Mus musculus: one gene and its partners. Each later gene encodes a partner of the first gene's protein in a complex. Links are inferred from orthologs where the notes say so. Each region holds a gene or a part of one and is shown in the gene's direction. Other genes may lie near its edges. The genes, in order: Apool, Chchd3, Chchd6 and Micos13.

What was found.
Region 2: Apool (region 1) and Chchd3 share a complex: the UniProt entries of both Homo sapiens proteins name them as parts of the mitochondrial contact site and cristae organizing system (MICOS) complex. The link is inferred for Mus musculus from reciprocal best matches to the Homo sapiens genes APOOL and CHCHD3.
Region 3: Apool (region 1) and Chchd6 share a complex: the UniProt entries of both Homo sapiens proteins name them as parts of the mitochondrial contact site and cristae organizing system (MICOS) complex. The link is inferred for Mus musculus from reciprocal best matches to the Homo sapiens genes APOOL and CHCHD6.
Region 4: Apool (region 1) and Micos13 share a complex: the UniProt entries of both Homo sapiens proteins name them as parts of the mitochondrial contact site and cristae organizing system (MICOS) complex. The link is inferred for Mus musculus from reciprocal best matches to the Homo sapiens genes APOOL and MICOS13.

Annotation. Positions count from the first base shown.
Region 1 is NC_000086.7:112,310,055-112,314,172, forward strand, and holds the start of Apool (MICOS complex subunit Mic27 isoform 1 precursor), read left to right. Parts: upstream 1-1,297; 5' UTR 1,298-1,367; coding exon 1,368-1,382; intron 1,383-4,118. UniProt on the Homo sapiens protein: Component of the MICOS complex, a large protein complex of the mitochondrial inner membrane that plays crucial roles in the maintenance of crista junctions, inner membrane architecture, and formation of contact sites to the outer membrane.
Region 2 is NC_000072.6:32,801,729-32,805,292, reverse strand, and holds part of Chchd3 (MICOS complex subunit Mic19), read left to right. Parts: intron 1-1,267; coding exon 1,268-1,403; intron 1,404-3,564. UniProt on the Homo sapiens protein: Component of the MICOS complex, a large protein complex of the mitochondrial inner membrane that plays crucial roles in the maintenance of crista junctions, inner membrane architecture, and formation of contact sites to the outer membrane.
Region 3 is NC_000072.6:89,382,635-89,386,198, reverse strand, and holds the end of Chchd6 (MICOS complex subunit Mic25), read left to right. Parts: intron 1-1,459; coding exon 1,460-1,595; intron 1,596-2,850; coding exon 2,851-2,856; 3' UTR 2,857-3,053; downstream 3,054-3,564. UniProt on the Homo sapiens protein: Component of the MICOS complex, a large protein complex of the mitochondrial inner membrane that plays crucial roles in the maintenance of crista junctions, inner membrane architecture, and formation of contact sites to the outer membrane.
Region 4 is NC_000083.6:56,606,917-56,611,168, reverse strand, and holds Micos13 (MICOS complex subunit MIC13 precursor), read left to right. Parts: upstream 1-1,397; 5' UTR 1,398-1,500; coding exon 1,501-1,529; intron 1,530-2,145; coding exon 2,146-2,323; intron 2,324-2,476; coding exon 2,477-2,531; intron 2,532-3,327; coding exon 3,328-3,425; 3' UTR 3,426-3,717; downstream 3,718-4,252. UniProt on the Homo sapiens protein: Component of the MICOS complex, a large protein complex of the mitochondrial inner membrane that plays crucial roles in the maintenance of crista junctions, inner membrane architecture, and formation of contact sites to the outer membrane.

The DNA of each region.
Region 1 (4,118 bases):
TATGTTTAGTATACCACTAATGCTTAGTATATAGTTTACACTTAAATATTTATTAAATGAATAAGTGAATGCAGTTACCTAATACTGTGAAGTTAATGGGAACATAAATGGACACTCTTTGTCTCCGAATTATTCACAGAGGCCTCAGGGAGCCTGTACCCTTACAGAGAATAATATACCTCCTCACAATCTAGTCTCCTGGGAACATCATAATCATCATTTTATAATGTATTTTAGATCAAGTCACACCAATGCTAAAAGCCTTCCAATTACATTTCTTTTTATTCTTTTTTAATTAGGAATTTCCATATAATATATTCTGATCACAGTTTTCCCTCCCTCATGTCCTCCCAGATTCTGCCACCTCTGACCCCGACTCCATGCCTTCATCTTTGGAATACAAACAGGCAACTAAAAAAAAAAAGGATAAAACAAAACAAAAGCAAACAATCCACACTAGTTATAGTGACACAGAGAGCCCCTGTTGTGGTATGTTTGTTTTTTCATTGTTGGGACCTACCACTCTCTGTTCCTGATATTACTTTTGCATAGACCACTTGCCTATATTCCTCATGACTTTCTTCAAATCACCCTATCAGCGCCTTCTATCTGTATGAACTAGAAAACTCCATTCCTTCTCAACAGATAGCTTCTACTTTTACACTTTTAATACATTTTATTTACTCTCTCTCTCTCTCTCTCTCTCTCTCTCTCTCTCTCTGTGTGTGTGTGTGTGTGTGTGTGTGTGTGTGTGTGTGTGTGAAATTTAGGCCATCCGGCTTGTCAGCCAGTAAGTACTTCTTACAAGCTGAACCGTCTTGTCAAGGTTCTGTTTTCTTGAATAGTGTTGAGGCCTTTCTAAAATTTTTTTGTCATTTTCTCTTGGTGCTGTATGTAGGTTTTGTAGTGTACTGTGAGCAACTTCCTGACAGAATTGGTGTTTAGTGACAGTTCTAGAATGAATGTAATTGAATTGCCTCAAGGATTGCAGTGGTGACCTGCTCTTGTGACAGACTATATGGTTGTTTATTAAGGCAGTTGAGTTTTAAGTTCTTATCTAGACAAATCCCGTAAACACCCAGTCATTCACCCAAGAAAACAATTTCTAATTGGAGTGTGGAGACTATTCTTAGAGGTTAGATGTATGAGGACTGGAATGTCAACCGCAAAGATAGGCCCTTTGCTCTGAAGAAGTGCTAACCAATTGACTTTGGCGCCTACAAAAGCAATGGCAGGAGGGCGGGGAAAGGGCAGGGCCAGCGGGCTCCTAGCGTAAAGGGGCGGGGCTATGGTGACGCAAGGCAAAGTGAACTGCTTTGTCCCTCTGCGCTCTCCGTCTGAAAACTTGAGCCGAGAGGGTCATAGGTATGGCGGCCTTTAGGGTAAGTGAAAAGAAACTTAGTTTTCCACTCCCCGCTCGCTCTGAGCCCAAGCATTACAATAATTATAGAAGGGACCGTCTATCGTAACTCATGGAGGGAGCCCCTCAGCAAGTGGCGACCTGGAGATGAGACTATGAGGATCGGAGTCTTTAATCTTTGCAGTCTCAACAAACCTCCCTCGCCTTCTCCTTAATCCCTGCGGGTAACTGTTTACACCGCGGGGCTTTAGTCCCGCAACCCGCTGAGTGAGTGATGAGGAAGGCCTGGCCACTCGCCTCTCTGGAGAAGGAAAACAAAACAAAAGGAAACAAAACAAAACAAAAGTTTGGCGCTGTCTTGGTGTGCAGGGCGGGGCTCCCAGACCGGGACATAAGACTTCCTTCAAAAATTAGCTGTGGGCAAAACAGACAAAAGTAGAGATTTCTCAGAATCTGTGTTGTGAGTGGGATTATACATAGTGTTATTCCCCGTCGAATAACCAGTTTCTTTGGAGTTTTATGAGAAAAGGTGCTTTTGTGTAGAAATCGGGGGTAAAGGAAACAAGTCAGCCGACTCGGGTTTCAACATCAGTTTACAAATACTTAACGCATGTATTTTTTTTTAAAGGTATGTAATGACTCTGTTAGGCTTGAAGGCTATAAGATTGTTATTAATTCAATCAGAGGACATTGACTTTTAATATTTCCCATTCTTCACTGCATTTCTCTAGTTTGGGACCTCATACTTTCTTTCAAACTACGGACCATTCTCTTAACTGGACTCTACCCACTCCATTGCTCTGATGGAATCCATTTTCTCCTGTGCTGCCATAGTACTTATATCAAAATGAGACTCTGCCCTGCTACTTTAAAGCCTTTATAGGCACTCCATTATCAGCTCTCAGGGGTCAGGTTACCCTTCTAGATAACAACACTTCACCTAGCCTCTGCACTCCAGCTTCCTCTCCTGTCACCCAAGAACCCTCTCCTGTGTACTTAACTTCCTACTTTATCTCTTCATGCCCCATTTACCTGCTCTTTCTGCAATTCCTAAAGTGCCCTTGCCCATTCTTATTTAATTTCTAGCATGCACGTCTGACCAACCTTTTGATAATGCAACCCCACCTGACCTCTACAAAGTTTATCCTGGAGAATCACAATCAAGTTACCAAAAAAAAAAAAAAAAAAAAAGCCCCAAATAATATTTTTACAATGTTTAAATAGTTTACAATTTTGTATTGGGTAGGGTGTGGTGTGTAGGCCATTGGTAGGAGATGCTTGCTTCTTTTGGTAAACACAGAATGGCTCTTCTAAGTGTGTGTCCTTGACAACTGTACTGATCCACATGAGAAAGTTTTTGATTAATTAATTAAAACTTTTAAGTCCTTTCTTGGTGGCCAAATCACGAGCAGGGCTGTGGTTCTGAAAAGTTTCTTGGTCCCCAAGTTCAGAAATACACAGTTTTGAAATCAAAACCCAGAAAGATGCATCAAAGTTAGATGAAGGTCAGAGTAGCCATGAAACATTTATCCCTGGTAGAACATAGTAGTTACTTTAGATATAACTTGCCAATTATTTTGGCTAATACATCTGGCCAATGGTCAAAGCTGTGGAAGTCTCACATGTGTTGCCAAGGCATATGTGACCACTGGGGGAATCAGATAAAGGGCTGAGAATTATTTAATCGAACATAAAATGGAGTCAGAAGAGGATGGTGTCACCTTAGTCATTTCATTTCCCAATTTTTATTTTAAAGTTATTGTTAAATTTTTGATCTTGACCAAGTGATAAATACTAGTTCCTGAGTATCATTAGCCTAACTGAGGAAATTTTCTATCTGATGAACTTTAAAAGACCATTTATTATATAAGGCTCTATAGCAAGTCTCATAATAAGGGGGAGTAAGGGACCAGGCAAAACAATGAAAAGTATTGTGAGCCATGGGTTTTAATAGTTTTCTGGTACCAGAAATTATTTCATTCATGTTTTTGATTTAAAATAATTTTTGTAAAGTTTTTTTTTTCTTAAATGATAATGTTTGATTTGTTAGTACAGAAGCAACAAGTCTCCCTTACTGTCACACAACCTCTCCTGGTTTGGAGAACTGTTTCTGTCAGAGACTCTATCTGACCATGGCATGTGTTAAAGGAGAATCTGAAGGTGCCTGGTGTCTATCTGCTTGACAAATTATCTGTTGTAGGCTCTCTCTTTTTTCTGATTAGAGCCATAGTGTACACGGCTACTGCCTATCTATCATCATTGGAAAACTGAAAGGGGTAGCCCCCTGTACGTCTGGTTGGCATATATTTCCAATTGTGCTCATGGCGGAGGATACAACTCGAGACAGTGGCTGCTCAAGTGCTATTAGCAAGGTGAGATGCATGGTCTAGGCGATTTCTCCAAATAATTGTTTAGATTTCCTAAGGAAACTGACTTTAGGGCTAAAGTTTATTCCAGATTCCCGATTCTGGGCCACCCTTGATGAAGTGTTGTCACTTCTGGTTTTGATCCCAGGTCAGTTCTCAAACCACCCCAACCCAGCATCTTAGAATTTGCTTATTGACCTCCGAAAGGCTTATTACCTTAAGCTGCTGTCTTCTGTATATCCTGGTATCCATTGTACTTTCACCAGCTGTTTGAAGATTAAATATTTTGCAGTTTTAATGCCAAGTCCTGGCTCTGAGTTGCTTCTACAGCAGCTCCTGCAAACTATCAGTTGTGCCCAGGAGCACCAACAGCAATCATGAGAGCTGTCCAT
Region 2 (3,564 bases), on another chromosome or scaffold:
CCAAGGGTCTGCTTATTGATGGGAAATATTCCCCCATGTTCTCTGAGGCTTTTGTTTTTAGAACCCATTAAACTTAAAATAATGCTACCTCAGGACTATATGGAAATACCAAATTTAAATTTCAGAGACAGAACTGATAAGATTGGAAGCATTTTTTTATTAAACAAACTAATTTTTTTAAATATACAAATTCATATATTAATGATTGTTTTGCATATTTCCTCTCTCTGTGGTTAGTCTTTGTACCTTGAGTTCTGCTGCCATACAAACAAGAATATTTTCTGTGTGTAATTTATTTGACTTATTATTTTCAAATGTGTATTATAAATTGTGTGGAAACATTTATGTTTGGCATGCCATTCTCATGGAGAGAAATTCTACTAAAATCTGAGCGTTGTAAATACAACTGCAGAAGTTTAACCTGGAAGATTTTTAGATGTTTGCCCTTTTTTTTCCCCCATTCAAGAAGCTTATTGTATGACTTCTATAAAAATTATCCACGGTGAATAGTAAAGGTCACAAAACAAGACATAATTCCTTGGAATTTACATTCTAATAAATGTAGGCAGGTGAATTGCACTAGATTATTGCATAGTCCATGACATGGGCAGCGCAAAATGCTAGCACAGGGTCACCTTAAAGGAGGAGAAAACCAGGGAGAGTTGTTCAAAGAAGGTTATATGAGCTACGCTTTGAAAGATGTGTAGTGATTTTCAGTTACATGGGAAGGGTGGGAATTTGGGTGCCAAGTATTTTCTAGCTTGTGACCACAGATGTGAGATCCGTAACTGGCCCCTAAGTATGATTTACTCAGGCTGCAGCAATATTCAGGGTCCAACAAGGGCTAAAGGCAGGCAGGAGCCTGATCATATCTCTGCTACCCTTGTACTTTATAGCAATATAGAGAGTCTGACTTGAATCGATGGATTTACAAGGAACTCTCTAGATGACCTGTAGATGCAGGGAGAGGGCTGGGACTATAGACACACAGACCAGAGGTCATTGCTTGGATCTAGGAAGTATTTTGAATTTTTGTAATAATGGTGAGTATGGAAGATTAGACTGCAAGGACCAGATCTTCATGGCCTGCTGGCCATGGGTATGCCAGAAGAAGTTGGGACTGGCAGATTTCTGACTTGCCAGACCAGGCTGTAGAAAAAGAGCACTGGTGTTATTTGTAGGACCTCGGCTTATGTTTTACATAACTTTTAACCTTGACCATTAATGGGGATGCCTTGTCTCAATTATCCTCATTTTTTGTTTCCAGGCGGTATGAATATCATCCAGTCTGTGCAGATCTGCAGACCAAAATCCTCCAGTGTTACCGTCAGAACACCCAGCAGACTCTCAGCTGCTCTGCTCTGGCTAGCCAATACATGCACTGTGTCAACCATGCCAAACAGGTGGGTGTGCAAGCTGACTGGGGCACCTGAAAAGTAGAAAGCCCAGTCATCCCAGTGGGTGGGAAACTTTCTCAACTCATCTAGAATCTCTTAAATCATGTTTTGGCCATAAGCTCTATCCAGTTCACTGTCAGAAGAGTCCAGATTCTAGGTAGGCCTAGTGGCTTAGGCCCGTGATCCCAGCTGCTGAAAAGACTGGGCAGGGCAACTTCAAGTTCAGGGGCAGCTACAGAGCGAGTTCAAGGACAATCTGGACAATGTCATGAGACCGTGTCTCAAAGTAAAAGTAGGAATGGATGTGCAACTCAGTGGTAGGGTGCTTGCCTAACATGCTCAAGGCCCTGGGTTCAAGCTCTCCTGAACTCTCCTTGGATTTATGTGCAGGAGCAGAAATATATTTAAAAATATGCTTAATTGCTCTAAACCTTTCACTTTCTAATGGTCCCAGTGGTCTTATCCTCATGGTCATTACCTCACATCCCTAAACAGCACTGTCCAAACTATGGATGAAGGCTATAAACTAAGAAGCAAGCACACTAGGAGTTCGTAAGTAGTAGGAGGTCTCACAGGATTAAGAGAAATCTACTCATCTGTTACTGTCTTAGTCAGGGTTTCTATTCCTGCACAAACATCATGACCAAGAAGCAAGTTGGGGAGGAAAGGGTTTATTCGGCTTACACTTCCATACTGCTGTTCATCAACAAGGAAGTCAGGACTGGAACTCAAGCAGGTCAGAAAGCAGGAGCCGATGCAGAGGCCATGGAGGGATGTTCTTTACTGGCTTGCCTCCCCTGGCTTGCTCAGCCTGCTCTCTTATAGAACCCAAGACTACCAGCCCAGAGATGGTCCCACCCACAAGGGGCCTTTCCCCCTTGATCACTAATTGAGAAAATGTCTTACAGCTGGATCTCATGGAGGCATTTCCTCAACTGAAGCTCCTTTCTCTGTGATAACCCCAGCTGTGTCAAGTTGACACAAAACTAGCCAGTACACTAACCATTCCTCCACCAGTTAGTAGAGGCTATTATTTAAGCTGGAGAAAGAACCTGAGTCATACTTAGGAAAGGCTTTCCTCCTTCTGCATGCTTCACTTGACCCTTTATGACTGCATAATATGACACTCATAAGATGCATATTTTCTCTAATTTATGTGCTTTAGAAAGCTAATGATATCCCAACAACAAATTAACAGTCTCAACAGGTCACACAATTACTTTACAGTTGGGTACATGGGATTTGAAGAGACACAAGTTGTTGGAAACTCAGTTCTTTCTGCTGATGAACTCCCTAGAGTTGACCTCGCCCATCTCAATCTAGCAGTTGAGTTATACAGCATGCCTTTCCACAGCCCAGTTTGCTCCTGTTATAATAATACCACTTAGTGTAAATCTCCAGTACTGCATAAATATCTGAAGGGAGGGTACTATTGTCTGGGTATCTTGGAAATAACAGTAACATTAAGTAGAAAAAATGTAATCAAGATTAAAAACCTGTGTTTTCTTGACACGCCTCATCCCTTGCTTGCAGCCACACTTGTATAGCTGAGTATCTGCCAGGGTTCTTTAAAGGTCTTGCTAGAGGTAAAGCTACTGATGTTAGGGTAGTGTGTGTTGTTTGTCACAGAATCCTCTGATGAGCTCTTAGCAAGCCTGCAGCCTTCAACAGCAACCACCTGAGCCCTTGGGACTTGTAGACTGACTCGTGGATTTTTCTAATGTGATAATAAAGACTTGTGGAGTTGGACTGCGTCATTGATAGAAAGGTGATTGTGTCACCGTGCGTGTTTCTGGAGTGGTGTCTGACACAAAGTGTCTTATTTCCAGTGTGCTTTCTGCTGTCGATGAAGTGGCAACACTGAAGGTCTTGGAGCATTGGCTCCGGCCACTCTGCCTGGTGAGGTCATGTTGAATCACATTTAGTGCTGTGGTGTCCTGTTTATGGAATAAAAGAAAAGCGATTATTGCAACAAGGTCACATATGACACATGGTACTGTAGAGGGGAGAATCTGGCAGGCCTGGGTTTGGAACCAAGCCCTATCTTTTAGGTCTCTGGCCTTGAGCCTTGGTTTCTCTTATTAGTGAATTGGGTCATGATGTGATGATTCCAGTATTAAGTACGCCTTTGTTTTTCCCGAATTCAGGATCATCATTTAGGAAAGCT
Region 3 (3,564 bases), on another chromosome or scaffold:
GCCCATTCAGACCCCTGGGCTGGGCATAAGGCATTGCAGACTTACATCCTAAGCCCCTCATTACTTTGCTGCTGGTTCTCCTTAACTGATGACTTTCACTTGGTTGAATTATCTTGATAACAGCACTCTCCCCTCTGGTGTCTGCTGCATGGCTGACACTCTCAATTCAGAGGTGCTGGGCAGGAGAACAGCAAGCTGGCCTGGAACACAGCTTGCAGAATACCCATCCTTTTTATTGCCAAAGAATGTGAGGAATGGCTCACTGCAGCTTTATAACTGTCAGGTGTCACTACAAGTTCACCACAGCTGTTACAAACATGGGGGAGCTTTGGCGAAAACCCATCTGGAAAGCTGATGGGTAGATGGCACCACCACAATGTCAATAAATATGCCCTCCCCATACACTGGCTCTGTGGTGTAACTTCTCCATACCACAGTTTTCTCATGGGGAGAAGGAGGTAGGGAAGAATAAATACCATGCACCCACAGAGTGGGGAGAGGTAATAGGGGGATGTTTTCGCCAGTGTGCTGCTGTGTGAGCTACTGGGGTGGGGTGCAGGAGAGTAAGTGTGCAGAGGACCCTGAGTAAAGGTGTTAAAGGTTGAGTGTAAAAGAATGGGTGCGGGGAGTGTGTAGATGTGGGAGGGGTGTGAGTGAGTGCATGCAAGTGGGGGGACTCTGGGATCATAGGAGAATGGGTGTGTGAGGGGGTGTGGGAGTGTGCGTAAGGTGCGTGAAAGTATGTGTAGCTATGTGTGTGTGAGTTGTGGGAGCACTGGATATGTGACAGTGGGGGAGGCAGGGGAAGAGAGCTTACGTGGAACAAAAAGGCATCTGGTAGTGGTCCTGTCAAAGGTGGCCCCAGGGATCTGGGAGGGACACCTGTAACTGTGTAATCTGTTGTTTACTTTTTTATCACTTGTTTTGCATCATAATAGTAGAAAGTCAGCATATTCATTTGTTGTACATTCTGAAACTCTTTTGATAAAAGAAGAAAGAAAATATAGTAAAATGCCTCAACACATCACTACAAACTATCTCTAAGATGTGTATTTTTGTTTTTTTGGATATCTCTGTAGGTTTTTCTGTGTCACAGTAGTAAAATTAGAACAAGGATTTGGGAGGAAGTGGCATTCCTGTCTCACATGGCTGTGGTACCAGGTCAACAATGCACTGAAAACCCCTTGGACAGAGCCTGACCCAGCTGCCACCAGGCCCCTCACCCTTCCTGGTGACACTGGGGACTCATGGCAGCAGCCAGTCAGCATACAGCCCTATACCCCAGCCCATTCAGTATTGGCCACTGGCCAGAAGACCAGACCCTGCACTCCTCACTTGTGGAGTGAGCTGGCACATGGATAGACATCCAGAGCTTATCTAGTGTCTTTCTGGGTGTTGAGTGTGAGTTCTTGCCTCTCATGCCTTCTAATACCAGCCATCTGTTCTTATCGTCCCCCAGGCCCCGCAGAGTGGAGCCTGTGTGCTCTGGCCTACAAGCCCAGATCCTCCGCTGTTACCGGGACCATCTGCATGAAGTGCTTCTGTGCTCGGACCTGGTCAAGGCATACCAGCACTGTGTGAGCACTGCCCGCAAGGTGAGGCCACCTGCCTTAGTGTGTATGCCTGGGCCCCTGCATTTAGACGTCCCATCCTCAACCTTGCTCAGAACCATTTCTCACCACTTTTGGGACCCCAAACATGTCCGTGGGAGTAGTATCTCCTGTGCTCCTCTTCCTGGCTAGGCTTATGTAATCTGTCCACCTTCCTGGAACAAGTAGCAAACTTCTCACCTTTCAGCAGAGGGGCTGAGAAAAGGACTATCCAGTTATACCCCTAGCCTTCCTTGACAGAAACAGCTTTAAGCCTTGTTCCATCCACCCTGTGTCGGTGGCCATTTTCAGTCCCTGTGCCCCCTTAGTGTATCCCACCAGTGTACCTTCATTGCACTGAGTAAAAACCTGGAAAAGGTGTACTGATGATATTGGACAGACTGCAGGAAGTTCCAGTGTGTCTCTGTCACTACACATGCCTAAAAGAGGCTTGTGACTTTTCAGGCTCTCCTTCCTGGCCCCACACCTAAAGCTCCTGGAAACATCAGAGGCCAGCTGGGCCCTCAAGCCACCTCTAAACCATGCATGCAGTCTGGCACAGTGTGGGCCTCAGCACCCAGACTCACAGGGCACCCTGTGACCAAGATGTCCTACTGGAAAAACTTGGTGCCCTCTGCCAGCTGCACAGAACATGGTCCCTGGCAGAAGTGAGATAGGAATGAAGAATCCTCAGGAAAGATGTGCTTCCAAAAGCAGTTAGATGGCAGAAGCATTCCTGTCCAGCTCAGGACACCTGAGGGCTTTCCTCTAGGTATAGAGCTATAAACCTGCCTGGAGGTATGCAGAGCTCCCTAGAGCAGGAACCTGATTGCATAGTTGCATTCTCCCAGTGCATCTCTTGGAAAATCCCTACTTGTTAAGCTAGAGAACAGGGAGGACCTTACTTAGGTAGAGCAGAAGTGGGCAAGGCTGCACTAGGCCAGGGTGGGGGTTAGCCATACCACTGTAAGAGCAGAGAAGGGAGCTGGGCCCCTGGGGATAAAGAGGTGGTGCTGGCTATTATTGCTGCAGAACGTGTTAAGTAAGAGCCTATGTCCTGCTCAACAGTGGGGAGAGACCCAGTCTAGGTCTCAGGCCAGCTAACTGACTCATAGCCAGTTATACTGCAGGGAAATGGCCACTATCCAGTGCAGTCTGCAGGAGCCTGGAAATCATGAGGCTGAGGTCTCTTACAGCCCGGGCCTGGGCCATCTCTGGGGATGAAGAGGGCTCAGCTGAACTCTGGCTGTTCTCTTTGAAGGGCTGAGGAGCAGCATCCTTCCTGGAGCCTTGAAGAAGGGACCGATCATAGGACCACAGACCATGGCCCCCAGGCCCTGCAGTCTCTAACTGAGCACCCATATGCCTCTGAGTGTGGGGCTGCCATGCTCGAGAAACAGTATGTGCTACTGATTGAAAACAAATAAAGCAGATGTCTTTGTTTGCAGTCATTCACTCATTGGCACCCAGTCACTTCTGTTGACTCTTTGTCCAGCCGTCTGTTGGTCACCAGTGACACAGAGCCTCACAGGACAGACTGCTTCTCTGGGGGAATACTAGGCCTGGCAGGGGATAGCATGGAAACCCATAACTACATGGCCACACAAAAGCCACCGTGGATCAAGTATGAGAGGAAAGAAGAGAAGTGGTGTTTTGGGGGGATGGTGCCAGCATCCAGAAGGACCTTCTGTTTACTCTTAGGAAGACTGGTGGGTAATTGCAGGACAGAGCAGAGCCATGAGGAGTGGGCCCCAGGTAAGGAGGAGCAAGGTGCTCTGTAGCTAAGGGGGCAGTGGGCGTGAGAAGAAAGGGAAGTTGGGAAAGGGGCATCTGGGCTGGGAAAGCCAGGCCTTGAGCAGAGGCAGTGCTGTTCAGGCACCTGGAGCCATGTCATTCTCTCACAGGAGGGGCAGACTGAGGTAGGGCCATGCCAGAGAGCACTGTGGTCTGCACTGCCCAGGAGAAGGAAGCCACC
Region 4 (4,252 bases), on another chromosome or scaffold:
CCTCTCACCCATTCTTAGTCATGAGGGTTGGTTTATTTTAGTTCTGGGTGAAAAGGAGAAAATGTCACCATAGACACTGGACATGTCTGTAAAAGCAGGAATGAGGAGGCCCAGGCAGGAGAATTCAGCTTTGGTCCATATGAGTTCCAGACCAATCACGTACAAAGAATAAGACCCCGTCTAAAAAAGAAAAAAACCCACAAAGCTGGGTGATGGTGGAACACACTTTAATACCAACACTTAAGAGGCAGATGCAGGCAGAGCTGTGAGTTCGAGGCCAGCCTGGGCCACAAAGTGAGTTCCAGGACAGCCAGGACTGTTAGACAAACCTTGCCTCAAAACAAGCAAGCAAACAATAACCAACCAAAGGCAAACCAAACCAAACCCAACACAAAAATAAGTAATAAAGAAATAAAGTTGTGTGTGGGGGGGGTCTTGTGTATGGTTGAATCGGAATGACCCCTACAGTTTCATGTATTTGAATGCTTGGTCCCCATTTGGTAGAACTGTTTGGCAAGGATTAGGAGATAAGTTTTCTTGGGGCAGGGGTGACAGTGGTGTGGACTTTAAGGTTTCAAAAGCCCACACAATACCCTGTAGTCTCTTTCAGCTTATGAGCCACAATGTAAGCTCTCAGCTGCTGCTCCAGCGCCATCCCGGTTTGCCTGCTGTCATGCTCCGCGTTACGATGGTCATGGTCCTCTGAAACTGGAAGCAGAAAACTTTTCCTTCTATTGAGTTGCCTTGGCCATGGTGCTTTGTCAGGACAACTGAGAAGTAATTAGGACAATAGGTCTCCATAGACAATTACAAGGCATCCATGCATCCATGGTGCACATCTGCTCAAGCTCACCTTGCAACCGAACAGGGATCTACATGATGTCCACTTGGCCGCTAACCCCTCCTGCGGCACTTCGCACCCCAGTGTGGCTCCTTGTACTCCGGACCACCCACCGCCAACCCGTTCTCACATGACCCCAAGACTTCTACCCGGCAGGGATCCTCCAGCGCCTTGGCCTTGGCAAGTCAACAACCTTGGCAAGCGTCCATCTCACAGGCCATCTGTAGCCTCTCCAAGCTTCCTAGGTTAGAGCCACACCCCTAACCGCTCACGTGAACCAAAGGCCTGCTTCTCTGGAACAATCCAGCCCTCGCGTTGCCGTGGTAACCATCACTTAGGCTTGCTTCACCTGGGGGACACTCAATTCTCCGCGCGGGCGCGGGGAATCCGACCAGTGTCTTCCGAGGGCTCGTCTCTGTCGTGCCTCCAGACTACATTTCCCAGGAGCCTTCGCGGCCTAGCCCTTCTTTGGTCTTCCGCCTAACTAATACATTTCCCAGAAAGAATTGCGGCAGCCACGGACCTCGACCTACAAGAGTCTAACTCCATTGCGGCTGACAGCGACCACTACATTTCCCAGGAGTCTCAGCAGCGACACCAACCGGAAGCGGCGGGCGAATTACTTGTCCTTGCGCGGCGAGTGAAGCGAGAGACTAACCATGGTGGCTCGAGTGTGGTCGCTAATGAGGTGCGTGGACAATCGTGGAGGCCCTGAGAAAGTTCGGGGCTGTAGGCATCTCTGCCTCGTGGCTTAGGGTCCTGCGACGGCTCACTTCCGGTTGTTACGGACCTTTCTCACGGTCTGTGTAGGGAAACTGGCTTCAGCCAGCCCTTATCACCCTACTGCTTCAATTTACTCTTAGGTGCAATTCAGATGCGTAGGCAATCCTGCCCATCTCCCTCCGTAGCTGACTTGAGTAACTTGCGGGGAAGCTCCGCCAGACACCCTGGAAGGTTTTGTACCAGGGATCTTGAGTGTCCATTATCCTTTGCAGGGTTTCGAATGACCCACCCTGTCTCTCTTTAAGACTCCGTTTACTGCTAAAAGTCGTGTCACAAAGGCAAATGAAATGATCAACTGGCCGGGAGTGGTGGCACACGCCTTTAATCCCAGCACTTAGGAGGCAGAGGCAGTCGGATTTCTGAGTTCGAGGCCAGCCAGGTCTACAGAGTGAGTTCCAGGACAGCCAGGGCTACACAGAAACCCTGTCTCGAAAAACAAAACAACAACAACAAAAAATGATCAACTGTCTGATCTCTGAGATCCTGCCCCCCACAGCGTCTCCCTTCATGTATTCCTGAAGGTTCCTCATTAAGGGAAGTGTGGCTGGAGGAGCAGTCTACCTTGTTTATGACCAGGAGCTGCTGGGGCCTAGTGACAAGAGTGAGGCTGCCCTGCGGAAGGCCGAGGAGGTTGTGCCACCAGCAATGTACCAGTTCAGCCAATATGTGTGCCAGCAGACAGGTCTGGAGATGCCACAGGTACCTTGGCTGGGAGTGGGTGGCCTACAGGTTGCTTCTGGGTGTCCTTGGGGCCTCCTCCACCCCTGCTTGGTGGAGTTTTGTGTTTCTGGGTTTGGGAGACAAGGCTGTGACCTGTTTCCCGTGTCAGCCCGTGTTCCTCTTTCTTCCCAGCTCCCAACCCCTCCAAAGATTAAATTTCCAAACTTCCGTGATTCCTGGAACTCAGGTAGGCCCCTATGCCCCTGCTTGGGGGGATGCCTGGGCACCCCAGCCTCTCTCCCAGCCCTGTTTACCTCATTGACCCTTTCTACTCCTCCATGTTTTCCTGTTTGTGTGCCTGTATATCACCTATGGAACTAAGTAGAAAGGACTGGGTATGGTGGCCCATGATTGTGACTTTAGTATTTGGGAGGCCGAGGCAGGAAAATTGTAGTTTCAAGGCCAGCTTGATCTATAGCCAGGACTACACAGGGACATCCTTTCTCAAAAATAGGAAAAACAAAATACTTAAAAAAACCCTAAGGGGTTGGGGTTGTAGATCAGTGGTAAAGATCTTTCCTAGCATGCATAAAGCTCTGGGTCCTGTCGTCAGCACCCCATAAATCAGGCATGGTGTTTGTAGGTCTGTCATCTCAGCACTCAGTGCAGGCAAGAGAATGAAGGATTTCAGGGTCATCTTTGACTACATAGGGAATTCCAGGCCATATGGGATATATGAGACCTTGTCTCCACAAAGAAAAGCTGGATATTGTTATACACACCTATAATCTCAGCACTGGGAAGAGCTGAGGCAGAAGGACTGAGAGTTTGAGGATAACCTTGGAATATATTAGTGAGATGAAACCTTTTAAAACAGAGCATAGGGAAGGGGTTGTGGTTTAGATCCACACTGGAACTTGTCCATCAGGAAAGGCTAGTCCCATTCCTCCTCCATGTACTGCTCTTGCACTCCCCAGGGGTTGGCTGGCTGAGTGGCTCTGGCAAGGTGGGGACCTTATGGCACCTGTGTGCTGTCTCTGCAGGCATCATCTCAGTCATGTCAGCCTTGTCGGTGGCCCCCTCCAAGGCCCGAGAATACTCCAAGGAGGGCTGGGAGTACCTCAAGGAACACAGCAAGTAATGGATGCCACCTGCCCCAGCATTATGGGGGTCAAGACCAGGATGGCAGAGACATCCCAGTGGGGACCTCACTCTGAGGGCAGCTTCCAGCATTGCTGGCCCAATAAAGGACTTGGGAATGGTCCCCAGCCGGTTTTCTGGTGGGGGGGGGATGTAGAGCCTTTGCTTTATGGGCAGAGTCCTGGCTAACAGGGATCTCTATGTTCCAGATGTAATGTTTGGAGCCCAGAAAGATTTTAGTTTTAGTTTTTTGTTTTAACTTTTAAAAATTTTGTGTGATAAAAACCATGACCAGAAGTAGCTTGGATAGGAAAGGGTTTATTTCAGCTTGTTACTCTCAGGTCATTCTCCATCACTAAGGGAAGTTAGGGCAGGAATCTGGAGGCAGGACTGAAGTAGAGGCCATGGAAAATTAGTTTATAGGCTTGTTCTCCATGGTTTGCTCAGCCTGCTTTCTAATAACACCCAGGACCACCTACCCATAGTCATCAATCAAGAAAGTGTCCCACAGTCCAATCTGACGGAGGCATTTTCTTAACTTAGTGCTTGTGTGGGTGTGCTTGTATATACACACTGGCACTGTCTGTTGTGAGCTCTCCATCATGGGTGCTAGGATCTGAACTAGCCATGGAACCATTCTTCCAGCCTGTACAATGGAGTAGGTACTGTGGTGCGGGGAGCCTGGACTTGGGGCCCTTAATAGGGGCTTCACTTGCAGTGGACCAGTTCTTTTTGACAGCCCCATTGCCCAAACTAGTCACAGCCACTCAGGACTCCCAGCCTTGCCCCCTGAAGGTCCCTTTTCCTAGGGACCCTGCCCCAGCATTC